3 linked regions of the Arabidopsis thaliana genome follow. The gene in region 3 interacts genetically with the main gene of each other region. Each region holds a gene or a part of one and is shown on either strand. Other genes may lie near its edges.

Region 1 (12,322 bases), 1.4 Mb from region 3:
CTGAAGTGTTTGCGGATGAAAGACTCCTTTCCAGGTTCCAAAAAGATGCCGCATGTTAGAATGCATAGGAGGGTCAACTTGCCTGTAAGCCTTAACAAAAACCTTCAGAGAAGTAAAAAGAGGGTGATCAGAGATGAATTTGCTAGGAAAAAAACATTCTATAACCATGACTATCAACAAAGCACCAAACCTCAGGCAGCCTGGCACCAAAGTACTTAATGTAATCCCTTCCGATGTTCTTCACAATGCTGTCTAACAGGTACAGTGTTGGCAGCTTCTGATCACTTGGTACCTGCATGATATTCTTCAAATCAGATAACCCAGAAGAAAAAAGGCCAATTTGATCTCATAGAGAGTAACATCGAGATTTCCACATGAGCCTCTAAAGGTAATGAAAGAAATCAATAACTTAAAGTAGAATCAAAAGCACAGACCAAGATGACATTCAAGCTAATACTAACACATATTCTGACAACTAGAAATCCAACAATAGACACAGATAACCATTAGACGATGTAAACAACACTGCAATAGCAATTCTTGTCTTCACTCTCCACACAGACTTGATGGATCAGGCTCCTTCTATTGAGTGCTTCCTTGCTACCCAAAGACTGAATAAAAGTTGACTTGGCTTTGTGGAGAGCATGCGGTAAGCAGAAACCGCCAACAGAAAATCCAACCTCAATAAAAACAGAGCTTATGAAAGCCCTTGCTAAATGGTAAAGTGAGATACAAAAAACTCTAACGCTGATAAAGAGACTACACACTCATATAACCAAAACTCAGTACAATCACATGATGAGCTGATATATGCATTCTTGATATATGAACATGAACAAAATGGTTGCATGGGCAACAGCTATTTTTTAGATTGTTAACAACATTGTGTCAGTACTATGAACTTTGTTTCAAAGAAATGATTTGCGACTTGATGAAGAAATATAAAAACACATAGATCCCAGAAAAGGATACTAGGGTTGATTCAAAAAACTCAATTTCTCATTGAACCTCGTATACAGATAACACAAATCTCAACCACCACCTTTTACCTTATTCCCCTTATATCGTACAATTATTATTACTCAAACAAGAATTTGAGAACTAAAGCACGGATTATAACAACAAAACAGTGGGCATGAAAACTGGGTGTTCACCTCGAGGATGTTGTTGCAAATGGCGGTTACGACGGCTTTAGCAGCATGAACATTCTCTCCAGCAATTATTGTAAGGTTCGTTATTATCGGCTTCGAGTTGAAAGTGAGCTCAGCCAGTGCAGACTTGTACTGATTCACAAGCTCATAATGTGGATGAACCGGCTGTGGCTGGTAAGCCTCTCGGCTCGGATCACTGACAATACTACTCTCAGTTTCTCTACCACTAACTCGAAACCTTGACGAAGCAGGTGGCACTGTCACCGCCGTAGCCGTACCAAGCGTTCTCTGCGACAAAAACTGCCGCGCGTTGGAATTAACAGGCCGGATTGATTCCTCGCTGAGCCTGGGTTTCTTCATCGGACCTGGATCTCTGGATCTATCAAACGGTCTACGAGGATTCTCCATTCCAAAGAACTATACAATACAAGAGGTACGCAAATAATGCCCTAAATTAAACCTAATCGGCAAAAATCGATTGCAGTGACAACAAATCCTCGTTAGAGGGGAATTCAGAGCATTACAACAATCAGTAACCCTAAGTTACAATCTAAAAATTGAGATGCATAACGCGATTCTGCGAAGAAGACGGAGAAGATAGAAGGAATGCTTCGAATTCGGCAAAAATGTCAGAGAGTTTGGACAATCTCCGATCAATTAGGGTTGTGAATTGGGGATTTTATGGAGACGAGACAAAAAAAAGTTGAAGATCGGAGCTGGTTCCAAAAATATTTAGGCCCATTTAATGACCCACATTCCATGTATAATAGGCCCATCATCTAATATTTGACAACAATAGAATTCTTTGGTCCGGTTGAACTATCTGATTTAAACCAAGTTAAGTGAGATCCTCCACATATCGAACCAGATCTTGATTCAGGTAACCAAAAGCTAACCGTAAATTCAGATATAAACCAAACGAAGGGAACAGAGAGTTTACACAGCTACGGGTCTGTTTTTTGTGACAAGTGTTTGATACAAATTTAAGACGAAACTAAAATGGGATTTAGAAACCTTGTACAACTCTAGGACTGTTAACTTTACGTTTTCACTTTCTTACATTAACTAGATTGGAACAGTGTGCTCTCTCACTCTTAACCATAAGCTTGTATTTGTTTGCTTGCCAACGGATTAGGCGAGGTTAGCTTGTTGTCCCTTCAGTTTGCTCGCCGGGAAGTGCAATCTTGCAATCAAAGGCTTCGGTCCCCTCGTCTTTCGATCAAATCCACGTACACATACGTACCCTACATAATATCAAAAGATAAGTTATGTTTCAGAACAAGAAGAAACTGCTTAATACAAAATGTACCTTTCCAAAAGCAAGCCTGTATCTTCTCAGTTGATAAACCTGAGAAAAATAGAGCTCAAGTGGTTAGAACAACTTTCTTTTATATAAACAATCGCATCACAATCCAATAAAGAAAATCTTATACCTTTGAATATCGTAGGAACAGAGGTACCAAAATAGACCGTTCTTCGAGGTAATTCCCATATCAATTCCCTTGGGACATTGATTGGGTTTAGGCTGGATGCATGATCCGCAAACACCTGTATCAATAGAATACATCACAAGTTTCAATGCAAATAATTAAAATGAAAGAGTTGGAGTTATTGGAGTTCAAGTCTTACCTCATTTACTTGAAAGTACGTTCCATTTAGAGGAAAACTACCCCTCATCGCTGTTCTACAAGGAATCTGTACAATTTACAACATATTAATCTGTAGAAAACATAAGTGTAGTAAGCCGCATAAGGAGATTGATGCAACTACTTACCAAAATTGTCCCTCTCACAATTTGAGATCTAGTCTCCTTGATGCTGTTGCAGGAGAAACAAGTCTCCTCGTCACAAAGCATACCATTTGCTTGGAATATGCACGTACTAACAGACGGTTGAATAGAATCAGCCGTCTCACCTGTTGAATAACACATCGATTAAAGATACCGATTTGATTTCATGATTAAAAGATATGCAAATCATTAAATTACCTGGCGTCCATATAGCAAGCAAATAAGAACATGGATCATCAGGTTCTCTCTTTTCCAACTGCCACAAGAAATCACAAACAGCTAGTCAGATTTTACAATATAGACAGCACTCTATACGGCATGTGTCCTTATCCAGTTAGCTCACATACCTGAGCTAGAAGAGGATGCTCGTCTGGAAGTTCGTAACTGCAAGATACGGGAAAAGAAACAAGTTATGGCATAGCCTGTAATTATTGGGAAGTTTGTCTGCTTTCCAACTTACGAGTTCATGCTTGGTCAATCACTTAAATATTCTACTCTGTTCAAGCTTTAATAATTTTGAAAAATGTGTTTCTGATTTCATTTTTAACCTAAGAACGAAGAAAAACAGAGAAAAATGGATTCTTACACTCGGTGTTCTGTCCTTAACTGGCTGATATTCTTGAGCTTAGGCATTGGAAGAGAAGCAGTTTCAGCAGTAAGTGCAACTAAAGCGCTGGACATGTTTCCGTCTTGAAGTTCCTTGTTGTGTTCCATTATCTTCTTCAAGTTACTGGTAAATGCATCCATGTTTAGCCTGATGGTAGGAATTTCTTCTGGATCCTCAAAAAACGCCTCCTCTATGTCAGCTATTGATACTTCTGCGGTTTCTGGCTCCGGTGAAGCAGGCTCTTCGATGATTGGTTCACAACATGTGACCTTTTTTGCTGGTTCTGAGTGCTGTACTACTTCAGACCCTTGCTCTCTCTGGAATGGCTCTGGCAGGTGTAGAGGCAAAGGGTTTTTATCAGGTGTCCCCATACCTTTCTCTGTACTTGGTAAAGCAAGCCTTGCACTGTAAAACAAATGAATGTTACTAAATTTTCTGTAATGATGATTCAGAGCTTCGTTTAGATACAGACCAATTCTCATTTAACTGGGTTATATTTTAACAAGGACTTTCCTCATAGAGTCATAGTGGTACTAAAGGTTTAAGAGAACATGTTGTAGCACCTTGCAAACGCACTGGCAAAATGTCTGCATTCTCCTTTCATCGGACATGCATTGCAATTAGGTTTGCTCTTTGTGCAAAAGACCTGATACAATAATCAAGCAGATTACAAACCTCATCATGTGAGCTGATTTTGACATACGTATATATGTATTTCTTTAATACATACCTTTCCAAAAGTAATCATCTGGTAGTGCAACTCATACCTGTGAGATAATAGGGTATTAAACTAATGAATAAGTGTATTAGACTGAGGCATGAAAAAAAAAAAGTTAGTGATAAACATCATTCTTACAATGTTTTTTGGTCGAGTTTGCAGAGACGGGGCCAAAGATACTTTTGAATAGATTCAAGCATAGGATACCTAGACAAACCAAACCTCAGATGTATTAAGTAACAAATTACAATTTCCAAGTAGGACCATTTTGAAAAGTGCTTACATTTCCAGAAGATGCAACTGAAGTGACTCTGGGAGCGGCTGAAGGGGCACCCATCCAAGTCTGACGGCTATGCGCCCAACATTTGTATCAACCTGTCAATAAATTAAGTTCATGCATCATATAATTCACTTTTTATAGGGACAGAAACAAAAGTTTGATCCTTGCTTACTGGAAAGGCAAGATGGTGAAGTGTTAGAAGCCGCACACACTCCACACTTTTCAGTCCCAATCCGTTAAAGCTCAGAAGATATTCTCTGCAGGGTTTTGTAATATACGAGAGTACATAATTCATTATTAAGTCACTAAAACTGCCAAAGTAGTAATCTTTGTATAGGTTAATAAAGAAGAAATAAAATGCTTCGTCTTTCAAACTTACTTTGCTTTATCTGGTGGAACATCTCTCAACCATTCAAGATCGATACTTCCATGGTCATTTACCAGTCGATCAAGGAAGCCCTGCATGATTTTCATGTTCAGAGTCAAATACTTAAAATGAATGTTATCACGAAATTTAGCCACTAAATTTTTACCTGTATACGTTCTGCAAGTTTATGGTTCATCCCGCGACTCTTGATTGTTTCAGCAACTTCCTTAACATCTGCTGCTCGTATTGCCTTCCAATCCACGGTGTCCATTGTACTTCTTGTTTTTTCTCTAATTCCTGCTCTAGCTTGGGCTTCTCTTCTTAAACAATCCCAGTCAAACGCTTTTTTTTCCTCCTTCAAAACCTTTTTCCCTTTTTCTTTTAAGGTAGGTTTCTGACAACTCAAAACATCCCCATCTTGCTGAGAGCAACAACCAGGTTCACTACTATCAACAGAGGATTTTGTGGGCTCTTTCATTGACTGGAAACCCTTAATTTCTGAGCTACAATCACCCGGAGACATATTTGGTGATACTTGATTGGAATCTTCTAGAGAGACTTGTACCCCCTGTAGGAGCTTCATAAAGGAAGTACGATACTCTCCTTCTAAGTCGATCTCTGAGCTTGATCCTGCTCTCTCTGTATTTTGAGGAGCATCAGACACCATCGAATGTTGACATGTAAGTGCAGAATCTTCAGATGGAAACAGGTTCAGGACACGACACTTCTCATCCGTCTTATCAACCTCTACACTTGAGCCTTTTCGATCTGAATCAACATACTCCTTTGAATCCGTGGTTTTGTCAACTGATTCATGGGCTGAGATGGCAATCTCACTACTGCTTCTGGAGGTTTCATTGCTAGGTACATAATCCTTCTCCTCATCAGGCTGTGTATTTTTCAAAGTAACAGAACTGTGATTGTGATCGGGTGGGCTTGACATCGTTTCCTCTGAGTCCAAGTACGTTATTTGAATAGAAGGCATCGAGCTTGTTCCAGCGTCAAAGTTACTGCTCGGTACAAAAGGGACAGGGAACTGGGAAGCCAACGACATGAAAGCCGAACTACAAGGAGTAAAAAACATCAAAGCAAGTTAGTTTTGTGACTTTTTGCTGTCTTGGATTTAGTTTGACATAGAATTATGTAAGAGCTTGTACCTTGAGAGATGGTCTGAAACATTTTGAGTGAGAAATACTCCAACAACAGAATCCACGACGGATCCCTTCCAAGGCGTAAAACGTCGATCCCCTGTTAGAAACCAAAGACCATAACAAGAAGCAGTAGCTGAGACATACTAATTGAAACCATGTGGTTAGAACAGAAACACATAAAAGGACAAGTGTGGTGTATAACCTTGTACAAGGTGCATCCTTGCAATAAATGAGTCAGCTCGTCCTCGAAACACATTACGTTCTTCCTCCCACCATTTCGCCTTCTGCTCGTCTGATCCGTCAACACCTTCGCTATTAATATTCTCCAATAGCAGTTTCCACACTCTGTCTGTCTCATCGTCTAGATCAACCTTTGGTCGTGGGCGTGGTTTTTTAACAGGAGTTACAGGCACAATTGCTCCAGCGCCACCACCAAAGAGTACAATCTGGCTATTCATTGTGTAAGGAACGAGAGCAGTTTCAGAATGCTCCCTGTTGATGTCTAATAGACGCAATAGCTCACTGATTGTTTCGATCGAGTTACGTCGTTTCCAAAGTTCATCTGGAGAAAGACCTGCAGGAATCAAACATCATCATTATCAAGAAATAGTCTGCATTTAACAGATTCAAAAAAACAAAGAAATATAGTTCTGTATCTATTCATTACCAGTAAATGAAGGTGGAAAACGGCAAAGATTCGGAAGAAGATTTTTCTGTTTGGTTTGTGATTTCTCAGACTTGGTTGGCTTCTTTTTGCTCACAGTCACCCGCGTATCAACAAGAATCTTATTATTTTGCTGTGGCTTGCTACAATATCCTGAGGTTAAATGCTCAGGAACTTCCACAAGTTTATTCATTGAAGACAAATTCCGGAATCGAGCATGGCCTGTTGTTTTCTTCTTGATCGGCGTGTCTATCTTATCCGAGAGAACATTTAGCTCAGACTCTTGCCTTCCTTGAAAGATACCTTCTCGTCTTTCTTCAACGGTTAGGACTCTATTAGCACTGAGCTGAGATGTGGAACTGTAGCACGTAGCGTGAAAGGCAGAAACATAATTGTGCTGTTGTCCAGAGAATACTTTGCTGCAAATGGCATCATATCTCATCCCTCCCTGTTGCAAGTTTGGGGAATACAACCAATGCATTTTCTGGTAGTCACATTGCTCATCATACTGAATCCCTGATAGATTCATGTCGCAACAAGTTGGTCCTTGTCTTCTCTTTGCAGCTTGCGCCATCGAAATATCGACTTCTTCTAGATTACTGCCATTTTTCTTTGGTTGAACTCCCTTTCTTTTACCTTGGCTGCGCTTTCTCTTGGGCGTGCTAGGAGCCGAAAGAAGGCAATCTTTTAACTCTTGATTCCCAGAATCTAACTGCTTCTCTTGAAGAGCTGATTCCATCTCACCTGCTTCTCTAATGTCACCGTTGGTCTGGTTTTCTCCATTTTCGGCTTCAAAATCCAAGACTCGTCTACAGAGCCTCTTAGGACGAGTTGAAGTTTCAACAGCTGCTGATGATTCAACCGGAGTAGCGTCTTGATCCTTACTGACTTCAACCTTCTTCCGCACATATTTCCTCTTTGGTGTTTTGCTTTCTTGACCATCGGTGACAACAGACTTCCTCGGAGCTCGTGGTTTAGGCTCCCTCTTGGGTTTAGCTTCTCTACGAACCTTTGGCCGATGCTTCTTCCTCTTAGGTTTTTCAGGAGTCTTGAGGATCTGTTCAGCAACATTGTTACTCACTGAGCTCAAACTCTCCACTTCTTCAGTACCTTTTTGCATAACCTCTGTGTTTCCTACATTGAGAATCACATCTTTCTCAGTCCAACTCAAACAGAATCAAAATTTGACAAAGCGATTTCATTTCTCATGAGACCAGAATCAAAATCCCCTCTTACTTGTAGGTATTGGAGTCTGACCAGAGAATATGAGGGATGCAGTGTTAGCTAGAGCAAGCAAATCCCCAAAAGACAAGTGATCAAGACCACTCATATCCTTGTTCCCAACAAATCTCCTGCATGCATCAATACCTTACTTAACCAATTACCCATCACTACTCTTTGAAATTTCTCAACTTTAGAACAAAAAAGCACAAACCTTTCCTCCAATTGACTGCTATGATATTGATCCTCCACCGTGTATGGGCAGATCGGTGAAAATGGCTTCATGGGTGTCTGAGGAATCCATGGAGGTTGTTGAAAGCTGCTTTCTTCTCTCCTCTGTTTCTCCATTTCTGACTCTATTTTTACTTTTCTTCACTCTTACTTAAATCAGAACCATTTGAGAAAAAGCTTGGAACTTTCTATTTTTTCCACTGCAAAAAGTTCAATAATTTCTTCAATAAAAGAGATCACCAATTTTTTTTAAAAATCACGATTTTATAAAATGATCAGATCCACTTTTTTCTGGGGTTTTAGAGAAAGAGAGATCTCCGGAAGTCATTGATTTTGGGTGAGTGGCGACATGAACGATTAATCCGTTCGTTAGGTGAAAGAGAGACTTTTTAGATTCACAACAAAATGTAAAAAAAAGTAAGAAAAAAACAAAATTCATTACCAGTAGAATCAATGGTTATGGTGGTGATGGAGAGAGTTAGTTCGGTGGTAGCTATGAGAGGATAAGATCACTGATGCTTCGTTTCTTCTCTTGGAATCGATGAAGTTAAAGAGTAATATAGAAAAAGCTTTTTTGGCCTAACGTATAAAGAAGAGGATATAACATGTGTTGTTGTGTGTTTCACTATTTTTCATAACCGTTTGTTTATGTAGGGCGAAAGTTCGTTTGGTTGGCGGGAAAAGTTTTACGGAATTTTATTTTAAAAATAATGATTCTTTTCTACAAAATCTCCTAGACTATGGGAAAGATGATTTAAAAAGTTAATAATATTGTCGTTGTTATCGTCATCGTCATCATCGTCTTTTCTGTTATCTTTTTCTCTTTAAAATTTCGTATTTTTTCTCGTTTACGTAACTATTTAAAATTATATGAACTAACTAATTTTATAATTAATAGAAATTATAAAATAATCTTAATTTTGCTTTAGATATAAAATAATTAGAACTTTATTTATAAATTTATCATCAAATTATGATTTAAACAAATAACATGTTATGTAATCCACGTTTATAATTTTGATCAATAATATATTATTTTGCTAATTTTTACGTAATCTCATAAATTTACACGTTTTCGTTTACATATGCAGAAGTTAAATGATTCGTTTTAGAATTATTATTTTCCACTGATATGGGAGCTAGTGTAGTAGAGTGATTATTAGGCTAGTTGCCCAACGAGTCTTTCGTTTTTGATCATTCCAAATGTTTTAGTCTAGTACGATAGGAGTCAAAATACTGCACCATATGTGTGAAACTGTGAATGTGTGTGAAAAAAAGAGTAATTAGTGTGCTAACCTTTGATTTCCTGTCATGCAAGAAACCTTCAAAGAGACGTACATGAGAAATGAGTATTGTAAATCATTTATTTCATGGACTTGGTTGGAATCTTAGTGAATCGTTGTTGTCAATCTTAACAACTTGTTGGATTGGTTATGAGCCTATGACTTATGACTTATGAGTGAGTCAATGGTGGTCATAACCTAATGATTGGGTTATGAGCAAAGAAATTTGGAATTTGTAAAAAAAAAAAAAAAAATCAAGAGCTTTTTTGTGTGGACATATCTATCCTAGAAACTGAGACGAATAATAGTGGATAAAAAGTTGGGAACGGATTATTCGAATGTTTAAAACTATTATTGAAAACAATACAACTAAATATGGTACAAAAGTAAACGAATTCGTATAGCTAAACCTAATTCAAATTACGAAGCTAATCCATACTTGGATCCTAAACGCTTTTACTTTTACTTACGGTTTCTTTTTCAAAAAAGTTTTTACAAATTTGGGTTTGTCTTATGAAGATTATGGCAGAAGAGACTGATCAAAAGTGAATGCCTAATTCGGTTTAATCCATTCAAGTTTATCTTAAACAATGAAACTGACCATGAAAGTGAATTCAAAGACCAAATCAAAGAAAAATTAAACTGATTTAGTTGTAATATTGGTATTGAATTAAACTATAAATAGAAATAACCAAACATATAACCACAAAAGAAGACTATTTATATAAATATATGAGTTGGAAGTCATTTTTGGACTATTATATAAGATCTAATTATCACACGACGTGTGGATGTATGGTTAGCAGAGTTGTGTTCAGAGAGTTCGATAAAGCCATCACTCCAAACATACAAAATATCCATACATTGATCCACCAATATAACCGGCTGTGTGCCAAGCAAAGTGAAGCTTAGGCCTAACTAGGGTTCTCAAAAGTTCAAAATATAAAAAATATTTTGGCGTCGACCTTAAAGTCCTTGCTTCATCGACTATAGTCTAAAGCCGGCATGCCTAAAAACCTCATATAAATCGTCGCTTGTTACTCGATCATACTCTGTAACTATAAATATCCTGATCTTAATTATAACTTGAAATACTACTAATCTACGAATCTATCATGTAACCTGTTTACTAGTTTTTATTTAATATAATCAAGGAGATAGGTCACTTGAAAACAAAGACGCCACGCTTGTATCTCAATCCATACTTCTATTTTTTGTCTTATGATATGGTATCATTCACGTAGTTTATATATTAAAAAAAAAAAAATATCATTCCCATAGTTCTTAGTTCTTTGTTTTATTCATAATTTTATAATATTGGCCTTCCCAAAAATTTGGGTAAGGTCTTGGACATTACAAAGATCCAACATATACAAAAATAAATAATCAAAAAAATCTTTGTATGACTGGAGATAATGATCGGATCTTGCTGAAGACCGGAAACAGAGAATCAGAGCAATAGTACCAGCGGATACAAGACCCACGACTTCGCTGATTTGTTTTCTCATAACATGTTTGTGATTATTTTCTGATTTAAGCGTCGAAAGATTTTTTTATCCCATAAGGTCAATCCTCTCAAGCGGTGGCAGGAGATTCCCGTTTCACGCACTGTGTGAGACGTGTGAATGACATAGCTCTCGCTTACCATCCACGTCTCATGTATCAGATTCATTCAACTCTTTTACTCATTCACCATGCATGAAAAGTATAAATTACATTGAATTTTAGCAAAGCACTTAATTCTTATCTTATTATAATCCTATTTTACATGCACACGTTATAATGTTATGATATTATAATACATTTTGTATCGACATGATATTATCCATATAAACAATGGTGAAACTTAACTCAAAGAGACAAATACCATATTGTGATTTCATGCAAACTGAGATAGTGCCAAGTGGAAGCCAAGTGCCATCTTTCGATCTTAAACATGTCACATAGAAGAAGACTACAATAACCCACTTAATAAGTATAAACTTTATTTATTAATGCATGACTTTTTCAACTGTTCCTTTCCCCATGCAATATTGATCTATCTTTTGGATCATTGTTTATAAAAGTTCACTTAGAACATTCATTCTAGAAAGTATATAAGTCGATTCTTTTGATGAACAAACTCCAACGAGAAAGGTTCTTTATATATACTCCTAATAATGGTGATAACGTAGAATATACATATTGTTTACGCCAATTCGCCAAACAATTCACTCCTTAAAATGACCTCTGATAAATAAAATCGACTAATATAAACCTTATCTACTAATGACACCAACTAATAACACCCATTTAGGGTAATCCTCATTTATTAAACATAGCTTACTACCTAACAACAATAACAGAATTATTGTTCTATTAATCTTCTTTTTTAATTTTGGGTTGAGTGATAGAAACCAACCACCAGACACGTTGTTAAGGAGGATGATGATAACGATTTTTAAAAAAATAAAACAGAAAATAGAAAAAAACTCAAAAGGAGAAAAAAAGAACAGATAGCGAAAGAAAAGTCTTATTTCTGGAATCAAATCCTTGTGAGTTTTCTTAAGATCAAAACATATAAATTTGTGATTTTGATTATTGGGTTTTGCTCATAGAAGACGAAACAGAAAGAAACATTCGTAAACAACACCAATACACCAACCCATACAATCTAAATTACATTAACATCAGAGAAAGTTTCAAACTTTTCCAAATCTTCAACGCCATTGAAATAGCATCTCACAGGTTAGATTCTTTCATTTAGATATGAATCAGATTTCTGAAAATTTGTTGGATTCGTGAATTCTCATTGTCTTCATGTCCATTATCGATACCCTGAATTTGTCTGAATCTCCAATATCTAAGATAAGTAATGTAT
Region 2 (10,851 bases), on a different chromosome or scaffold from region 3:
GTTTGCGATTAGATGATAAAGATACAATAAATGGTATGATGGATGAGTAACAGAAAGATCCAGAAATGAATTGATTTCTAGTTCGAGATATTTCCTTAGCTTTATTTTGGTTGTTTAAAATTGAATTCTCTTTGTTTATAATTGTTATACATCGTTGTCGTTTTGACTCATGTATCTTTACTTTTACGTCATGTAACAAGAAAGCAATTACGCGTGGGGTCTTCCTTTTAGGCATAATCTTGTCATTTTGGTATATGCTTTGTATCAATCCATGTCATGATCTATCCTAAAACGTCGTCGTTTATGCCATGGACGGTGTAGACTGGTAGACACTCATATCTCACTTTAACCGAATGTTTCCGAAGAATTTCAGACAAAAAAAACTGATGAAAAAAATGAGTTTGCATCAGATAATGCTTTTTGATAAAGGGGTTTCAAAAGTGGAATTCTTATTATTTTTTCGCCAATAGTGGGATTAATTTAGTCGTTGAGATTTTTGCTTCACCGTTGGTTTATTGGTTCTAATAAAAGTTGTATTTGATTCTCCACCCAAAGTTGGGACGGGTTTATGACCCATAAATTAGGCTTGTGATGTGGAGCTGACACTAACTAAATTTTCAAACATATCTTGAAAATTTATATTCATTCATTAGAAATTTATATTCATTCATTATAAAGACTAAATCTCAATAAATGGGAGTGTTAATTTGACATATGAACTATGAAACGTATCATTTTACTATATTTTGTATTAACCATTTGGTAATGTATTGATGTCCTATCTTAAGTCATGTCATAGTGTAGCTCTTTTAAAACCTTTTGTAGGTCGTTTATAAACTTGCTAGATGTACGCCATGATTTTGCCTATAGATGATTTCATTTAGCCACTACAACATAGAGTTAATGTGCAAATATGTCACGAGGTAGTTTATTTAAGTGGTAATAGATGATGAAATAGATTGAATTGTTTTTTATAATATTAACTTTTTCATACTAGTGTATTAGACAAACAAAAAAGAAGTGGATATATGGTGATGAATGACGCACTTTGGATAATTCTTTGGCATATGAATCATGAATCACTCTACTATATTTCTTTTTGTATTGAAATATGTTAATCTACTGATGATTTATCTACTAACTCATGTCATTATGTTGGTCGTTTAAACCCATCTTTTTTTTTTGTTAAAAGGGTCGTTTAAAATCTTGCTAAAACACCATGATTTGCCTATTAATGATTTCATTTAGCCACTAAAACATAGAAGTTTATGTGCAAATACGTCACGAGGTAGTTCACTAAAGTGGTAATAGATGAAATAGATTGAATTACTTTTATAATGTTTAATTACTTAGCTTTTTCATATTTGTATATTAGGCAAACAAAAAAAATGGATATATGGTGGTGAGTGATGCTCTTTCGACTATTCTTTGACTATACACTTTTAGTCCACGAATGATAAATCCACACGTTGCAAATCCCATAGCCTCCCTCTCTATCTCTCACTTTCTATCAAATTTAGCTCTTTAAATGTTCCTCACATTCTTTGCTTCTTTGTTACTTCTTACACATTTTCTCACTCTCACAAATCTCACACACACAGAGTAAACTAACTCTAAAAGCTATGAACAAACAAAGTTTGAAGAGACTTCAGTTCCGGAGATGGGGAAAGCGAATCGGAAGCTCGACGACGGCTTCAGCAACGCTAGGAAACACCGAGGAAAGAACGATTGTGGCGTTTGCGTTCTCATGTTGTGGAAAACCACGTGTTCTCGTGAAGCAGTTTGTTTGGAGGCTTAAATCGCGCTTAAGGTGGTCTCGGAAGAGTGATCATAATAATATTCAGTGTAGTTATGATCTCCGGAGCTATCATCTGAATTTCGACGACGGTTGGTCTCGCCGACGGTGATTTTAATTACATAGACGTTGCTATTATTGTCTATATATGGAGCCTTTTCTTTTCATATTTTGTAGTAAATTAAATTCTCAATCTGAAAAGATGATTTTTTTTGTTTCGTGTTTTCTTGCATACAAAATTGCAAGATCTTGATATTTCTATTCATAGGCTTTAACTTTTGATCCAAATACAAATACTTGTCATAGAAAACAACATTTGTATGAGCCTAATTTATCTTAGCTTTGTAGTCTTCATTTTTTCTTGCAACACTATTAACTCGTTGTGTTTTTCGTTGATGATATATATGATGTTGATGAATTGGTAAACCCATAGATGACATAATAAATATAATTGATGTGGAAGAAAAAGATATCGGACCAGTTAAGATTTTCTGAAAATTGAAAAATGAGAATGTATTCATAAAAAGTATTTTTAAAATTTTTATGTTTTGCAGATGAAATGTTAAAATCAAAGTAAAATAATTGCTGTCATTTTATTATTAATGAAGCAATCAATTCAGTCATCTAACATTAACATATGTCCCCACAGTGTTTCTAATTACCACTCAATACACAATTTTTGGATAGGGAAACCTCATAATTGTTTTTTTTTTTGTTTTGGGGTGGGCACAAAACAAGTCTTAAATTCAACAATCTGAATCTAAACCAAATTTCATATAAACAAATTTGGGCAAACAAGTTATTTTGATAAAAGTAACCATTACACTCCAAAAGAGGATGAATTTAAAGAAGACAATGCACTATTTGCTAAAAGATATCGAGAAACATAATTAAAAGATAGCAAGATAAACCGGAGCCGGAGAAGAGTAATGTCGTAGAAAATTCTCCTAAGCTCAACAGTAGATTCTTCATCATTAAAAGAGGCCAGTGAACAAGAGTCTGAGAATTAGAGAACACATGTAAACTAAGAGCATTTTCAATGGTAAGAGCCCCTCAGCTGCTTTCACCATTTTTTAATAATAAATTTTTGAATTTTGTGAGATGAGAATTTATGTTATTTTTAAAATTTATTTTATTTCACAGAACTGAAAAACTATTATAATTCATAACATTGATTTATAAATTAGTGAAACACTCTATATACTCTATATCCACTCTATTTTATAATTTTATAATTAAAATGTTTGGAAACATTTTAATTAGTGAAACACTTATATCCACTTGGGCCTAGAATAAACGTAGTTGGGCCTGCTTTCAAATGGATACAAAACATATCGTTTTACGTCTTTCGTCTCTCTTCTCTCGCCGAAGGAAAAAAATTCAGCCATGGCCAATTGCTTCGCGCCACAATTAACCTTCCCGTCCTTCTCGCCACGCCATTTCAGCCCTAGAATGTCGCACCAATCACCAAAACCAAGCACGAGCACCACCACAAGCATCTTCACCTCCGCCACAAAGCTACTATGGGGACCATCTCTTCCTCCAGGTCTACTTATCTCCACCGCTCGAACAGCTTGGACAACCGTGTGGCAGCTCATGATGACCCAACTCGCTCCATCCGATTCATCCGGGTCATACACCCGACCCACTTCAAAATTTCGTCTCGACCCGACCCAATTCACTTCCGCTGCTTCCTCCGAGCTCCACCTCTACGTTGGTCTTCCTTGCCCTTGGGCTCACCGAACCCTAATTGTCCGTGCTCTCAAGGGTTTAAACGACGCCGTTCCGGTCTCAATCGCATCACCTGGTCAAGATGGATCATGGGAATTCAAGAATAATAATATCCCAATCAAGGATAAGGATAAACTTATCCCGAGTTTGGATAAAGCAAACCGGTGCCGGAATCTTAAGGAAGTGTACAAATCTAGAAGTGGAGGTTACGATGGGAGGTGTACTGTTCCAATGCTGTGGGATTTAAGGAAGAAAGATGTTGTTTGTAACGAAAGCTATGATATTATCGAGTTCTTCAATTCAGGTTTAAACAAATTGGCCCGAAATGATAACTTGGATCTCTCGCCACCAGAGTTGAAAGAGATGATACAAGGTTGGAATCAGATTGTGTATCCTAAAGTTAACAATGGCGTTTACAGGTAAATTGGAAAACATCATTACAATGTTTATAGAATGTTACAATGGCGTTTACAAGTAAGCGGGATATCAAAAAAGCTATAGGAATGGAGTGAATTGTTCCAAATTTGATGCGGGTTTAGCTCATAGCTTGTGTTCTTAATGCTGCAATGTGTGTTTGATGCTAAAGTTGATGACTTTGTTGTGTGGTAATTTGCTTGCGATATTTTTTGAAAGGTGTGGGTTTGCGCAGAGCCAAGAAGTGTATGATGGAGCTGTAAAATGAACTCTTTAGTATTAAAAGCTATAGAAAGCAACTGAATTGTTCACATTTGATGCGGTTTTTGCGTAGCTTGTGTTCTTGATGCTGCAATGTGTGTTTGTTGCTAAAGTTGATGGCTTTGTTTGTTGTGTCATGTGTGGTGATTTTTGAAAGGTGCGGGTTTGCGCAGAGCCAAGAAGCGTATGATGGAGCAGTGAATGAACTCTTTAGTACCTTAGATGAGATTGAGGATCACTTGGGTAGTAATAGATACTTGTGTGGAGAAAGGTTGACATTGGCTGATGTATGTCTGTTCACAACTCTGATTCGTTTTGATTCGGTTTACAACATTCTATTCAAATGCACCAAGAAGAAGCTTGTTGAATACCCAAATCTCTATGGCTATTTGCGCGAGATTTACCAGGTTCCTCTTCTTACTGGCTTCTCTCTGAGACATAAATTCTGCATCTGGGAGTGTGTTTCAAATTATGTGTTTGTTGTTGTTGTTGAAACAGATTCCTGGTGTTGCGGCTACTTGTGATATTTCGGCTATAATGGATGGCTACTACAAGACGCTGTTTCCGCTAAACGCTAGTGGAATTCAACCGGCCATTTCTTCATCTGGCGATCAAGATTCTCTCTGGAGACCTCATAACCGAGACTTGGTAGGTAAAGCCATTGAAGCACAGCTTTCGGTTTAAGCGTAGAAAACTGTACATAACTCAATGATAGGATTATCCAACAGCACTCAAAAGTATCATACAATGTAATAAGCTTTGATCTTGTACTATTATCATTCCTCATATATATAGAGAGAGAGAAGCCTTCCACAAGTGATTCTCATGGGAGTTCTTCTTAAGGTGAAATCACTTTCAAGACTTCACTTCGATACTACGATTTATATAAATAGAGAGATCTTTCAATATAAGTCATAACCAAAAGCCATAGCCGTTAGAACCAAAATTAAGATATTCACACGAGTTTTTGATATCACAAAAGTGAATCAGTTTCTAAGGATTATAGTTTCATCCTGATAGCTACCTACCTATTTTATGGACCGCGACTTTGCTTATATGCATTGTCGGAATTTTTTACAAAAAGCGTTTTTCGATTGGAATTTTTTTGCCAATTCATTCACAACAAAAAGGAGTTTGCGCCCACCACATATCTTCAAAACCTACCAATGTAAAGCTCTCTCTCATGCTCGCTTCTTCACATTCTTGCCTTCTGCAGCATCAACAAATTGCGTGTTAGTTGCAAAATAGTGAAGGGCTCATGTTTCAAAACCGAGATAACAGTCAAATATAGGAAAAGGATTATCAAATAGAAATCGTGTGATGATTACTCACTGCTAATCTGCTTCCTGACTCGGCAGAAGTCGCTACCACATTGACAATGGAACGGACTCGTGGGAAACACATCTTGGTTGAATGGGACACCATAATCCTGCAGGTCAAGTCCAAAACTTCTCAAACAGAACCACAAAGAAAACAGGACTTGAACCCGAACTAGTGAAAATTTCTAAAAGAAACAAATCTGTTAAGAGTGGGTGGAGAAACTTCTAACACACCCAGGTAAGTTCCTCCATAGCATCGATCTCTCTTGTTGTGAAGAATGCAAGCTGGAAAAAAATACAGATTAGCTAATCGGTCTATTGTTTCCACATAACAGATGAGTCTTCTATAAGCAAATGATTAGAAATGAAACAAGGAACTGTGTCATACATGATAGTAGTGTGAATCAGTAGTCTCCGCATGAACTGGGATCTCAATCAAATTTGCATCTAAGCATCTGCACATATAGACATAGTACAGTTAGAAGTAATGAATTGAGAGTGAAACCAACTATATAAGTTTCCCAAATGAGTTCTAAATCTAGGCTAGTCATATGAAACTTTATAACAAACTCATTTTCAGTGTCCCTTTACCTGTGATTGATGAACCTGGAAATATTTCCATAGTGCGTTCCTTCAAGAGAAAGTGCTTTGTCATCCCCTGAAATGTCTTCAGAACCCCAGTACGCATCCAATATTACTGGAGAAGTAGGCCTGTCAGAGATGCGTTGGAACAACTCTGGAATGGTCAATATCTCTCCAGCAAGCTCACAGACAAATGCTCCTTTAGGCAGTTTTTCTAGAGTTCTGAGTCCCCAGCCTCTCCCATTGGGCGTGAAAAACACCTGATTCAAAAAAAAAAAAAAAAAGGAACATAAACAAAATTCAGGCATCAGAATCTCTCCACTGGTTAAGTCCAAGTTAAAATGATCATAATCAGTTTCAATTCTATCAGAACTGAGATGGGTTTAGATTATCAAATCCTGGACTACTTGGCTAAAAAGGTTGGTAAGTTGAATGTACCTGCAGCTTGTTGTGAATGCCCTGTTGGACAACTCGGTTGCCACAATTCTTCATGCAGCCACACTTGCTCCAACATTCTTTAATGGCCTTTCTCTTTAGATGCCCTTTGCACGGTTCCAGGATTACTTCTTTTTTGGCTTTCTCTAAAGGACATTCTTTGCAATACAGTAACATTTGTTTCCGCGGATCACGGGCCTCAGAGATACACTGTTCCAGAAAATCTTCCTGTAGGAGGCCATCTACTGTGTATGCAAAGCCATTAAAAGCAGTTGCACATCTGCATGCCATTGACGGAGCCAAGCAATCTCCACAGCAAGAGGAGCAGCATTGGTCATCCCTGATATTCCCAAGCGAAAACTTCACTGCAGCATCTTGATACACAAGACTTTGGGCTATGTAATGGAAAACTGGAGGAACTTTGTCGTTGACCTCATTCACCCAGGGAATCTCAACAGTTTCTTTCCCTAGACTGATGTCCCCGACGCTGCTTATCAATCTCCACTCATCTGCAGAAAGTTGGCATTCAGGAACAACTACCAAAGCCATGGAATCACCAACTGCACCGTTTTCAGCATCACGCATATGTTCGTTGCTGCAGATTTCAACAACATCATTACTGGCCTGAGAAGTATAAGCCATCCTTGCTGCAGATTTCTTCAATGCATCAATGTTCGTTGTGACAAACGGCAAGTTTTTTGGCAATTGGTTAGCTGAATCTCTCCCGTTTGTTGCCAGGTCCAGGTAGCAGCTACAGATGTCGTTCATAAAACCAAGCACAGAAAAGTTGGGGTCCAGTATTTTGTATGATCGGAGACACTTCTCCTCCATTGCTCTTCGTAGTTCCTCCATAGAAGGTAAATGGGGATTTGATCCTCCAGTTGCAGGAGCAAAACTAAGATTAATCTTCACCTCGCCTGAAGCAGAAGAAGCTAATTCAAGTGCTGGAGGTTCTTCTATGGTTGCAGCTAGCTTGTGATCACTAAATCTCGCAACAGTTGTAGGAGAAATGTCATTGGTAGTACCATCAGCAGTACTTACTGTTTCACCAGCCTTCTCTTCCACATGTCCATTTGATTTGTCTATCTCAAGCATGGAAGAGTCCCCTCTATCTACTGAATCTACAGAAAACGTACAAGACACATTAGTTTTGGAGAAAGTAGCTTCAACAATCATAACAACAAAATGAGCAATGCAAATAAGATTTAGTTACTCCTATTTACAAAAAAGTACCAGGAATAGAACTGAGAGGCATATTTGTAATGGGCTCGACTTTTGTAAGAATGAGCTCACCAGCATCATGGTCATTTTCAATTGGTACAGGATGATATGGCAATAGGATCGGAGCATTTTCTTCGTCATTAATTGAAGGTCCCTCTAAAGTCGGACTGCCCAAGCTAGGGCTTGCCAAAGCAGAGCCTCCTTCACCTCTGCGTCGCAGCCTCTTTAAAGGGCGATCAGACTCAGCCATAACATCTTCGTCATCCTCGATAGACTGATATTACACAACAGAAACTGAATAAACAAGAACATGAAGACACATTACTCTAACACAGCAAAGATATTCAGTTTGCCATACTTCATGGAGCTTTTTCTTTCCTCTGTCAACTTCTGCGGCCTGAAAGATTGGATCAACAACAAAGTGAAGCATGGATAATAAAGCAACATTGAACTAATAAATGGAAGATTGTTTGGAAAAAACATACACAGCCTTCATCCTCTTTAACTTCGTCTGCCTTCTTTTCTTCGCTTTCTTGAATAGCCTTTATATAAGTAAATCAATATGGAATGTCAAGGTAATAACAAAGACAATGATTACAACAGATTTACAAAAAAAAAAACAGTAGATCAAAGAGAGAACAAAGAAAGATACCTGATCTTCATGGCTATCGAAGATAGCATCAGCAAGAACCCTGTAATTGTCTTCAGCAATTAACTCCCAGTTTTTCTCGTAAAGGGCGAGAAGGTTTTTCAAGACCGGCTTCACTCGCGCATCCTCTATTCCCATAGCCCTCATAGCCATAAATGCTTTCTTGATATGCAGATTAGGTGCCATCGTTTCTGCACCAACAAAACTAAAACTGATTGTGGGATTGCTTTCGTGAAACAAGTTGTAACTTCTCATTTGCCTCGTCCTATCAAAATGCGGAAGAAACAAGATGTGAAGAGCCGTTCAGTAAGGAAATAAATGTGGCCAGAACTCAAAACATTACAACAATAAGCAAAGACAGACCTAAAGCAAATCAACAACAAACCAAGACTACAGACATCTACCTAGCAGCAAAGACTAACCACAAGTAGCAGAAAAGACTCAGAAATTGAATATCCTAAGAAAGTTGAAACCTTTCCTCTTAAGAAAACACAATCGCACAAAGAAACTCTAACAAAACGTTGTTTTTTCTCTTCCAGAGAGCTAATAGCGTTTTCAGATGACGATGAGACTCAAAAAGGAGAAGACTTTCGTCGGAAATTAGAAGAACTTACTAAGTACAGAGACGAGAGGGTTAGGGTTTAAAGCGAGCTCGGTACAGAGAAAGGATTCCACGATTTTGACTTACTTAGTGAAGAATCTTGGCCGTAATAAGCAAATGACAACGGCGTAGAGACAATGTCGGTGACGACGGCAGAGTATTACGTCGGCGCGTGAGAGTACACGCGAGGACAGTGCCAGGTGAAATTTCGTTTCTTTCTCAGTATCTTGTTCGACTGTGACTTTTTGTTGACCCTCTCTCTTTCTTCTTCTTCTCTGCTTAATGGGCCGGGCTTAATTGGGTCGGGTCAAACTCAATAAATAAGCGAATCTTATTGACCTCTTAAGATTTGTTTTTGATCTTACTACTATCATGTGTATGTAACTATGTATGTCTCAAATTCTCCGGTATTTAAATCCAATGCAGGCAGTTCTGGTAACCTTATTTTATAAAAATTATTCACTAATATTGTATAGGGAATCTATACTTAATTAAGAGTTTCACATATCTTTTACAGTATACAGTATTAGTTCTTTCCTTTTGTAGTCTTTAACTCTTAATGATTTTGAAACATTGGGGAACACCTCTACTTCTCCGAGCAATCTTTTTTTTTTTTTTTTGGGCAAATGCTTGTTTTCATTCATCTACAAGAGAAAACAAGTACAAAGGTAGAAGGATTCTAAGATCACAAAGTTTTAACATACAACAAAGATAGGCATTCCCCAATACCATAAAAGGTAAGCAAAAGCATAGGTAAAATACATCAACAAAGGTTCCAAGAGAGCTATAATCCAAACACACAAAGGCAATTTGGTTCTTGTGAGATCAAGGGTTGTTGACAAATCTTCCACACTCACCAACTCAAAATATATCATATAGAATGTGAAATCCAAAATCCTGCAAAAACAATCATGCTTATCATTAACTCAAAATAATCATAGTGATAATATCTTTTGTAGTTTACAAAAACACACAGGTTTATTATTATTTACTCCAGTTACTACGCAATTATGTTCTGAAATTATGTAAACTCAAAACGATCATGTTTTGTTTTGTTTTGGACACAAAATAAAATCGAATCAATCATTCACATTTACAACAAGGTCTAAGATTTTATTTTCCTTCTCGTATCAGCCTACAATTTAAATCAAACTCATCAAAATATATCTTAGTGCCTTAAACAAAAAATACATATACACAAAAGGTGTTTTTCCATCAATGTCCTAAAACAAAATCCAAATTCAGACAATAAAGTCAGATTTAATGGCATTAAAGGTTATTCACTAAATTCAACAACAAAAAAGAAGAAACAGTAATCATTTTTTTTTGATACTGTATTACATAATCTCCTAAACCAAATCTATATAATAAACACTTGTCGTCTCAAAGTTTCTTTCTTTTTTATCTTACCCTTGAAGCAAGATCCAAAGAAAAGTATACTCCTTTATTTTTCATGGTTTCATACTACAAAACCTGCTCTTATTTACATTTTTTTGTCTTTAAACCTCAAAACAAAAGACAAAAAAAAAACGGAAAACTTTCTTTTTTCCGGACACATAAAAACAACACAAACTTTATTAGACAGAAACAAACTAGTAAAAAGATTTTGAACATCAAGAAACAAAAATCTCTCTCTGTCTTTCTCAATTATGAAACTCACCTATCAATTCTTCATCTTCTGGTTCTTTTTACCATTCTTTGCAATCTCCGGTGATGATGATTATAAAAATCTGATCTTTAAAGGTTGTGCAAATCAGAAATCTCCAGACCCAACTGGTGTTTTCTCTCAGAATCTCAAAAACTTATTCACTTCTTTAGTTTCTCAATCATCACAAAGCTCTTT
Region 3 (9,300 bases):
GCATCACCACTTTGCTTGACAGCAGATTTTTCAACAGTGACATCCAAAACCCATTCCCCTCGGCGGGATGCATGACGATTCCGGATCCACGTTGTCATGTCTGAACTATTCCAGATTATATTTGCTGAGCAAATCCGTGAATCACCTGCTCAGTTTAGATACAGGAGTATCATCAAAAACATGTATCTAGAAATCTTACTAAAACATAGGCTTTCTTTTATAGTAGCACAGAATATCGATCACAACTTGGAGGAAAATTCAATCAGACTAGTTGAGAAAATATTTTGGTTCATTAAACTTCTGGCAAAAAACAAAATTTCGTAAGCCATGTAACTACAAAATTTTGAAAGGAAGACTCTATCAGATACACTGCTCCCCCATCAAAGAAGAAATCGAAGTGTAGGGAAACAAGCGAAATATACAAAAATGAAAAGTTTTATTCAAATACCTTTGATCACTATTTCCAGCAGAACTGGGTAAACTGTATTGCAAAGAACATCAAGAGTTCGTTCTAGATCGGGATCGGTGGCATTGTAGGAGAACGTCAAACAAGGCATATCCGAACCTTTGCTCCCACAAGGATCTCGGAAAGAGCAGCACTCACTGTTCATTGGAGAATAAATCAATCATAATCAGGTAGAAACCAAAGCTAGACATTATGCTATGAAGAACAAAAATGATGGAAAGAAGATAACTGGAAAACTAGAAATCAACATCAGACTTGCTTTCTGGACAAATTATGCATAACATTCAACCAGAGACGACATCCAGAGGAAAAGCAAATCATTGTACAAACCTGACAGACAAACTTGTTCTCTTGAAATCATCAGTAGCTTTCTTCTTTTTCTTTTGTCCTAGTGAGTTAATTACATCCTCACACTTTTGATGTATATCCTGCATACTGATGTTCCAATCTTGCAGCAATGTCTAGTAAACCAAAAACACCAATTACACAGCAAGAAAAGGATAATAGGAAAGTGTTTCTATGACAGGTAGAGGCTTCCAGAAAGATTCAACAGTAAAGGAACCAGATTCAAACCTTATTAAGATGAATATGGCCATGTAGGCATGAATCAATTCCAAAAATTTCTGATATAGTTGGTTGCTTTCTATATCTTCATGCAAGTAAAGAGAAAGCAGATTGCAAAGAGGTTTAGTAAAACCATAAAAAAAAAATAACACAAACACTAAAAAGAGCGACTGAAGTTACTAAAACCCAATTCTTACTCGACTAGGAATTCCACTGCAGTATCTTTAAGACTAACTTTATTCAGCTTGTTCCTGACTGTGCAAGCAGCATTTTCCTGGCAAAACCTTTTTCCACAATGGCATTCGTTTAAATAAAGGATTACGCGCCGATCATTAGTAGTGTTTTGGAAATTGACTTTGCAGAGCAGAACTTCCTGGGAAAAGAACAAATACAGAAAACAATTACACAACAATACAGATGAACAAAGCTGTATTCAGAAGGCAGATTTGATATTGCTATACCTTCATTAGCTCCCATGATGAATTACTATTTGGAGAGGAATCAAGCACTGCCTTATATGCAGGATTTGACATGGCAGTAGCTGCCAATACTCCAACAGGTTCTCCAGCTTCAAACAGACCTTGATGTCCACGTTCAGAATCAACTCCATATTTGAACTGGATGACTGAGTTACTACAGGTGTTTCTTACAGTTCCATCGTTTGTAATCACGATATCCCGAAGAACAGCCATCAGGTTCTTAAAGAGGGTTCCAGGCTCAGCTAATCCCCTTGAAGAGCGAACAATTACCTCCCTAGCTGCAATTGAATGAGCCATCTCTTCATACGGATCCAGCCCATGAAAGAAGCAGCCCTTCACTATTCCAAAATCACCAGATGAAGAAATCCTGCCATACTTTCTCTTACAAAAGATAGCCATGTCCTCTACCAGAGTCTTCGTGTAAAACTTCTTCTTGTCAGAAAGCTGAAGACCCAAGAAGCCTGTCTGCTGCACCAGCTTGGTGATTGCTGAGTTACTCTTGATATCAATCAAGTTCCGAATGGAATATGACTTCAGCATAAAGTTAGCAGCCACTTCCTTCACTTTGTGGATGCTGTTCTCTAGCTGCAATTCATCTCTATATGATAATCTCAAGCGAGACACCATAGGTGAAATCTCTCGGATTATTAGGTTGTGAATTACATCCATGTCTGCCCTAGACATGGATAAGTCTTCCAAACTTAGACTAAATCCCTCAGCAAACAGACTTTCCATCAATAGAGGCTGCAGCGAATCAAAGAATCCAAGTGTCTCCTTTGGACCCTTCTCCAGGAAGATTGAAGTTACAATTTCATTGATGATGGACCCCATCGCGTCAACCCCGAAATCAAACTTCAGCAAATCACTTCCATCAACCAGGAATCTGTCTCCTTTGCAACTCAGACGTTCTGGAAAGGCAAGCTGTAGAATCTGGAAAACTGTCCAAGCTGGGCCAGATTTACTGGACTTCCTTAGTGCTGGTGGTGGCAGGGACAGAGAGCCATACATAGCTAACTGTTGAGCAGTTGCCTTGTCCAGAAATACCCGCTCCAGCATTACCCTCAAAGACAGTAAAGAATCACTACCCATCTGCAAAATCAGCTGTCCAGTATGTGAGCTAAGCAGTTGCTTCTCCACAGAGAAGAGCTCCATAACCTCTGCCTTAGCACTAAGAGACTGAGGGTAGAACAAATGGACACAATCACCATCAAAATCAGCACTGAGGGGGCTACACATCAGAGGGTTAATCTTCACGGTGTTGTCTTCATGAACATACACCCGAAGCGCTTGAAGAGAATGTTTATGTGTTGTCGGGGGTCTGTTGATAAACACAACATCCCCATCCATGACCCTGCGATGAACAACCTGCCCGGGTTTAAGCTCAGTGTGCCCCTTGGATCCATCCCTTAAAGAATAGGTCGTAGAACCTTGAGTATAACTCAAACACAACTTGTCGTCTACCAACTTTTGTAGATAACCTCTATTGTGGACACTAACCCTTTCCTCAAATGTGATTCTCTGCGCAATTTCTATTGGGATCCCTACCTCATTCACATGTCGGTAAGCATCTCCAGTGATGACGCTACGGGAAGAGAAACCTGAACCCTTACGGATGAAAAGTGTTCTCATTTTTTCTGTCCAAGCTTTTGAAGATGAACTATCCGAGATCTTAGACACCCCGTATCTCATATCAATGTTTCTTGCCGCTTTTGCAGTACCCCTCACCTGGAGATAGGTATCCACCACTCTAAACATCTCACTGGCTTCAGCCTTATGCGACTCAAAGTTTGTCTCGCCAGACCTAGAGCTTTTTATGGCTATGACTTTCTTCAGAACGTCCTTTAGCTCAATTCTGGAAGGATCCTGAAAATAAGAATGACACAAATCCAGGGGTTACAACACAAGCCAAAGCATTCAACTCAACATAGTAATTTAGTTTCAACTTACCACTGACATGGTGCTGAAACCATCAGAAGCCTCTGGCACTGACAAACAGTTAGGCGGGACAGGAAGATACTCTAGTATGTATCCTTCTTGAGGAATATGTCCCTTTGCCGTGAGTTTCTTTCTTGATTCTTCGGGGATCCGTCTTAGAATTTCCTTAACCTATTTGTTTTCCCACCATATGGAAAAGGACACGGAAAGTACATAATCATCAGTTTCCAGAAAGAAAAGATCTTAAAGATAGAGAATGATTCCAAATGAACAAAAAGAACGTCACCATAAAATCCTACATAAACAGAAACATAAACACACAGAAGAAAGTAAAAACCTCTCTTGCCAGCAGGGGACGCGTGTAATCGCTTCCATAGCGATAACCATATCTTTCCAGGAAATTCCAGCAACCAGGCTGCAGTCTTGACCTAGATGGGAGCTTCAGTTCTAGATATGAGGCACCATCTGATGCTCTATCTTTGATTGAGATTTGCGAAGCTTCCTAATAAAGTAATATAGTAGTTAAAAATCCAAGACGTTCAGCAATAATAACATCCAAAATAACATAAAGCAGTGAATGTTTCATGATGCCACGAAAATACCAATAGCTACTGCTTCACAAGCATTGATTAATGTTACTTTCACTGAATGGATCAAAAGAAGCACAAATACTATTTAGATTTGAATTAGCAAGTTTTCTAACATGCAACTAGTTGAAGGAAAACTTAGAAAAACTAACTAAATGCTGAACCAGGTTCACATAAGAAACATCTATCAACTTGCTTTCAGGTAAAACTTAAAAGGAAACAATCAGAATGTATATGCCATTACTCACCTCACAACAGACACCCAACAAGCGATCCGCCAGACCACCACTTGTGCCCTGTACTCAGAAAGGTGAAAAAGATTAGTCGAGATTTTATATGGTTTATTTATGTGTGGATCACATGGAATTTAAGAAAACTCAATGAGGTAATACCTTTGCCTTCTTTATCTTCAGACATTTCAAGCACAGAAGGCTCAGCATTTGTTTCAACTCATTAACATGAGCAGGATGGTATATTGGCACTGGAAGCTGAATATAACCAAAATGACCTGAAAATGTAGAAACAAATACCGATATCTGAAGAAGTATTCCAACAAATGATGTAAGAACAAAAATATAGCAACTACGGAACTGGATTACCTTCACATTTATCTGGTTCTGTCGCACCGCAAGATTCACATTTACCAAATTCAAGAGGTAACCCCAAGAATGCGTTAGTGAGTTGACTGGGATGATTAATTGCGGATTCACTAATCGATTGAATACACTGCAAGAAAGAATTACAGTCCAGTGAGAAATGGAATAGTGACAGAGGATATATCGCAGAACAACATTTATATGCAAAAGTGTAGCACTTAGCATCACACAGAGCTTGAGTACAATTATAGTGAATTTAGTGCCAAAGATAACCAAAACATAGAGGTTTTAGCTATTCGAAATCCTTCAGTTATGTAAAACCCATGATAAACATTGATGCAGAACAAGATGGATCAATTCCAGAGAGTATAACTCTTATAACTTACTATTTCATGGTGACTAGCAAGAGCAAATGTGATTCCAACAATCTCTCCGTCAAGAATCTCTGATGTAGATTCTTCCTCCATGAAAAAACCCTAACGAGCGAAAATCACACACCAGCGAGACCGAGTTAGCTCTTATCAGATGTAAACAAACAGAGAAACAAAGACATTTGAGCTCACTAACTTGATACAAAGAAAAATCAAGTCTTTGAAGAACAAGTTCTCAAATCTGTAAAAGATACAATTTTTATACTCGTTTACACAAAATCGAAGCTGTAGTAACACACAGTGAACCAAAAAATCCGAACTTTCAAACCTAGAGTAACCTACATTTGAAACCCATTTCGGAGAAACCCCCCCCCCCCCAAAAAAAAACACGGCGGAGTCATGATCGAGCTCTTTTCCCGGAAAAACATCTAAAGATAAGAGTTGGGTAAGACGAAAATACCTAAGAATTCGATGATTCAGCTGCGTATTTGACCCGTTTTGGTTCCTCAACCGGAGAAGAAACGAAACAGCGGGAAACAAGGGTTTTTGCAGGTGAGAAGAGGGAAGAAATCTGAGTGAGAGTGAAAATGGCGGACTTTTTCTTAAAAGAGGAAACCGAGAAAGAAGATTGCGAGAGAACAATTTTGGAGTGACTCTACTTTTCTCTCTCAAAAATCTTTTGTTCTTCTTCACTCTTCAGCTTCCGTCTTTAAAACCCACATTGCATGCAAAGGGAGAAATATTTTCAGTTTCGTTATTAATTAACTAAAATAAAAAGGTATCAATTTTAATTTTTCTTTATTTGTCAAACAATTGATAACACTTGGGAATATGCAATGATGATGAAAATGATTAAAACAAATATTTATCCACATATTATGCAAGACCATGTCAACAACCATTGACAAACTTTTTTTTTTTTTGAGAAGAATAAAGGATTTCAAAACCATAGAATTAGCAGTGAAGCAAAACATATAAATACTTCAAGTAAACTATTTTTTGGATTCGATTTTGGTGTTGTATATTTGATCGATCGCCATAGATGACCGTTTCCGTTTGTAGTACGCTATGTTTGATGCGATAAAAATCTAGCGGGAACGATGTTTTATAAAATAATGGTTATACCAAAAAAACGGTAAGAACTAAGTGGATCGACTTGTAAAAAAAAATTTGAGATATTTTTTGTATTCATGAATTTGTAAATAGTTCATACCAAAAAAATGAATATGTAAACAGTTGACCAATCAATTAAAGACAAAAAAACAGCTCTTTTGTCTTCAAAAATTATATATAAAATGTTAAAGTATTTTTTCATTTTATTTTGTTATATATTTGATCGATCACCATAAATGAACTTTTCAATTATATATTGATGCGATATGAATATGAAAGGAACAATGTTTTCAAGAGATAAACTTCGTTTTTATCCGAAAGAACGGTAACCAATGCTCATATCAATTTATAATGAAAACATGGAGAAGGTTAACAATAACTCTTTTTCTTCATTTATATAATTTTGTTTACACATAAATGAAGAACATGAGTATAAATTTAGGAAAATATTTTGTAAATAAAAAGTAAAGGGTAACTCCAAAATGAAGTGACAGATGATATCATACCATATTCATCACTCCCTTTTAGAGTTGAGAATATAGTGGTATTAAAAGGATTTTTTCTAAATTAGTATTTAGAGTGAAATTTGGAATATAATTGGAGATGCACTTATTGGCTCATGGATTTAAAAAGGGAACAAAATTGCATCAATTTCTTTCTATTCAGGAGGAATTAAGTGGAAAAAAATTTCATTCCATTTATTGTAAAAGTTAGCAAAAGTTGTAACCAAACGAAATACAATATGCTTCCTCTCTCAAACTTTTCCGCTGATGTGTAAAATACAAGTCAAGCTATACTTGCATTTAAGTTTATATGTACAAAAAAAAGTTTATATGTACAAATCAAAAATCAAAAGAATATGAAGTACCGGTTGATATTGGTTCTTGCATTTAGAAGGTATAATTGCAATTAAACCGACTTTCAGATTTGGTCTAACTTTTAGACTGGCTATTCAATTTACTTTAGAGGGATTTGGTTTCCACTTTCGACATTGATCTTTGGATAAGTGGGTTCGGGTACTATTGTATGACTCATACAACTACTGATAAAGACTATCTGCTTTCTCTACTCCATCACAAATTATTAAAAACCAATATCTCAAGAGATGTTAAGATGGGTCGTTTTACCTTTTTTCACCACAATACTATAGCTTACTACTACTATTTGGCTTCCTAACATATATATCAATTTGCTACTTACAGGAGCTCCATAGCTCCTTTACTTGTCCCACCTCATCTCTTTCTTCCTCCTCTTCTGTCCACGTACTTCCCTGAGAAGCTCTTGAAGTTCTTCACAAAGAGGTTCTGGAGTAAGCTGAATGATCTCATCATCATCACCATCACTATCCTCCTCTGGCTCCGTCTCCTTCTCCTTTGGATCCTCTGGCTCGGTCTCCTTCTCCTCTGGATCCGTTTCCTCCTCAGGATCCGTCTCCTCCTCATCAATTAGCCATCCACAATGAAGATTCTCCACACCTAATCAATTATTTTGACCGCAGTAAAAGAATGTTTCATTTCTTATGTTGAGATTGGTATGGATATGAGTAAAAAAGCTTTTATTACCTCGAACAGAACTTTGTGCATAATCTGATGATGCTTCTCCCAAATGAATAGCTGCTGGTGATGGGTCATTGACTGCTTCGCTATTGATTGATAACTCATCAGCTTGGTCTCTTCCATACTCAATATGCATGTCCTGCTCCTGCTCCTGTATTACAAAAGATGGATCATGCTGCAAGTTACATACCATTTGGGTAAACCAAGTTCAAGAATTCTGTCAATGGTTTCTAATAATGCCAGCAAAACGAATCCCAACAATGGAAGCAACAGATTTGTGAACCTGCACAGAAAGAGAACGAGAAGGAAGAAAAACAAATCACCTTCTCTTCTTCGTGTATTTCCACAGCCAATTGATTGGGTTGTTCTTCCTCAGCCATCTCTTCATTGTGATTCTCAGGCAATTGGTTGGCTTGTACTTCAGCCAATTGTTTCTCTTTTTCCTCTTGCTTTTCAAGGCAGATAGCAAGGAGGGGACCATAGCTATCATCTTCAATCAAAAACCATTGGTCTTCGTAGACCTGAAATCCAAAGTGGGTAAAACGTTATTTTCAAGTTGCAAGGAAAATGTTATCAACAACGGAAAAATGGAGACCCTAAAACTAGCGAACAAACCTCTAACAGTTCCTTAATACTCTCACTGATAACATGCTCATGAAACCCAAATCCTCTCATGCGATCTCGTGCTGCATCCTCTCGCATCAATCCAGCCTTCTGCAAAAAAGCAAAAGAAAAGTAGCAATTTAAAAGCATAGAAAAGAGAGATAATCATAGAAGGAAAAAAACAAGAACACCCATCATAAAAAGAAGTATTTGTAAACTTATCTCATCAGTGTTCTCAACGTTGAGTACACAGAAGTCGTAGAGAGAAACAAAATGTTAACTTCAACAATCATGTCATTCAAATACTTCATCTATATAGTCATTCTACTCTAATGTCTATGTCTATGCTTTTATCTTAGTTTTCCACTATACTCTCTAAAAACTATATGATTCAAAAGCTCATATCTTTACTTGTTAGCCAGCATTTTAATTTGGAAAAACAAAACAAAAAAAACAGTACAGCTTATACCTTTCTTCTTCCTCTGGGAGCCATTTGTTGATCCCTCACAATTCCCTGTAGTTTCAGAAGAAATTGGAGGACCAAAAGTATAAGTCTTTGGGTTATAATCAAACAAACAAACAAAGGCAACCAAACAAGTGATCCCTTTTTTCAAACCTATGTAACAACAAAATCAACGAAAGATGAAACAAAACAAAAGTTGAGCTCTTTCCCAAAAATCCCGAATCAGTAACACTAGAGATAAACCAAAAATACCCTAAAATTCAAACCCAAATGAAACCTAAACAGAATCACAACAAAACACAAAAACACGAACTTAATTTTGCTACAGAGATGACAATGTGCTGAGCTGTTTCGTTCAGATTCGATAGGGAAAGAGAGTACTTACGGCGGAGAAGATAAAATCGGCGGCGACTGTGGAAGGTTTCTTAAGAATAAGCCGTGGATCGCCTCCTCGTCTCCCAAAAATGCTTCTTTGAATGAAATCGAATTAAAAAAATAATATAGTATTTGTTTGGGTCAACCATTTTCTCTGTTAAGTCAACCATTTTCTTATTGGTTACTATAAAA

The links.
Region 1: of NRPD1B (region 3) and DML1, changing one suppresses a phenotype caused by changing the other (phenotypic suppression), as found in Arabidopsis thaliana (one study listed by BioGRID).
Region 2: of NRPD1B (region 3) and SUVR2, changing one enhances a phenotype caused by changing the other (phenotypic enhancement), as found in Arabidopsis thaliana (one study listed by BioGRID).

What each region holds. Positions count from the first base shown.
Region 1 is NC_003071.7:15,305,977-15,318,298, forward strand, and holds DML1 (demeter-like 1), read right to left. Parts: upstream 8,832-12,322; 5' UTR 8,622-8,831; intron 8,380-8,621; 5' UTR 8,297-8,379; coding exon 8,163-8,296; intron 8,080-8,162; coding exon 7,964-8,079; intron 7,862-7,963; coding exon 6,731-7,861; intron 6,638-6,730; coding exon 6,266-6,637; intron 6,161-6,265; coding exon 6,070-6,160; intron 5,977-6,069; coding exon 5,079-5,976; intron 5,005-5,078; coding exon 4,925-5,004; intron 4,803-4,924; coding exon 4,718-4,802; intron 4,641-4,717; coding exon 4,549-4,640; intron 4,473-4,548; coding exon 4,404-4,472; intron 4,315-4,403; coding exon 4,278-4,314; intron 4,194-4,277; coding exon 4,111-4,193; intron 3,953-4,110; coding exon 3,527-3,952; intron 3,325-3,526; coding exon 3,288-3,324; intron 3,197-3,287; coding exon 3,139-3,196; intron 3,066-3,138; coding exon 2,926-3,065; intron 2,847-2,925; coding exon 2,781-2,846; intron 2,700-2,780; coding exon 2,585-2,699; intron 2,500-2,584; and 5 more. Other genes in the region: AT2G36480 (pre-mRNA cleavage complex 2 Pcf11-like protein), read right to left, coding at 1-102, 191-292, 1,155-1,559. UniProt on the Arabidopsis thaliana protein: Bifunctional DNA glycosylase/lyase, which excises 5-methylcytosine (5-meC) and 5-hydroxymethylcytosine (5-hmeC), leaving an apyrimidinic (AP) site that is subsequently incised by the lyase activity.
Region 2 is NC_003076.8:17,696,265-17,707,115, reverse strand, and holds SUVR2 (SET-domain containing protein lysine methyltransferase family protein), read right to left. Parts: upstream 9,275-10,851; 5' UTR 9,022-9,274; intron 8,673-9,021; 5' UTR 8,663-8,672; coding exon 8,411-8,662; intron 8,301-8,410; coding exon 8,244-8,300; exon of another isoform or gene 8,189-8,243; coding exon of another isoform or gene 8,156-8,188; coding exon 8,117-8,155; intron 8,033-8,116; coding exon 7,771-8,032; intron 7,659-7,770; coding exon 6,541-7,658; intron 6,363-6,540; coding exon 6,112-6,362; intron 5,976-6,111; coding exon 5,909-5,975; intron 5,806-5,908; coding exon 5,755-5,805; intron 5,631-5,754; coding exon 5,534-5,630; intron 5,412-5,533; coding exon 5,383-5,411; 3' UTR 5,080-5,382; downstream 1-5,079. Other genes in the region: AT5G44005 (uncharacterized protein), read left to right, coding at 1,623-1,907; AT5G44000 (Glutathione S-transferase family protein), read left to right, coding at 3,182-3,945, 4,359-4,608, 4,700-4,885; PDLP1 (plasmodesmata-located protein 1), read left to right, coding at 10,658-10,851. UniProt on the Arabidopsis thaliana protein: Probable inactive histone-lysine methyltransferase that acts as regulator of transctiptional gene silencing independently of histone H3K9 methylation.
Region 3 is NC_003071.7:16,710,883-16,720,182, reverse strand, and holds the start of NRPD1B (nuclear RNA polymerase D1B), read right to left. Parts: upstream 5,724-9,300; 5' UTR 5,459-5,723; intron 5,104-5,458; 5' UTR 5,095-5,103; coding exon 5,014-5,094; intron 4,758-5,013; coding exon 4,631-4,757; intron 4,540-4,630; coding exon 4,424-4,539; intron 4,328-4,423; coding exon 4,280-4,327; intron 3,947-4,279; coding exon 3,782-3,946; intron 3,616-3,781; coding exon 3,457-3,615; intron 3,373-3,456; coding exon 1,492-3,372; intron 1,404-1,491; coding exon 1,228-1,403; intron 1,116-1,227; coding exon 1,040-1,115; intron 928-1,039; coding exon 797-927; intron 604-796; coding exon 449-603; intron 146-448; coding exon 1-145. Other genes in the region: AT2G40020 (Nucleolar histone methyltransferase-related protein), read right to left, coding at 7,330-7,586, 7,674-7,818, 7,991-8,188, 8,283-8,420. UniProt on the Arabidopsis thaliana protein: DNA-dependent RNA polymerase catalyzes the transcription of DNA into RNA using the four ribonucleoside triphosphates as substrates.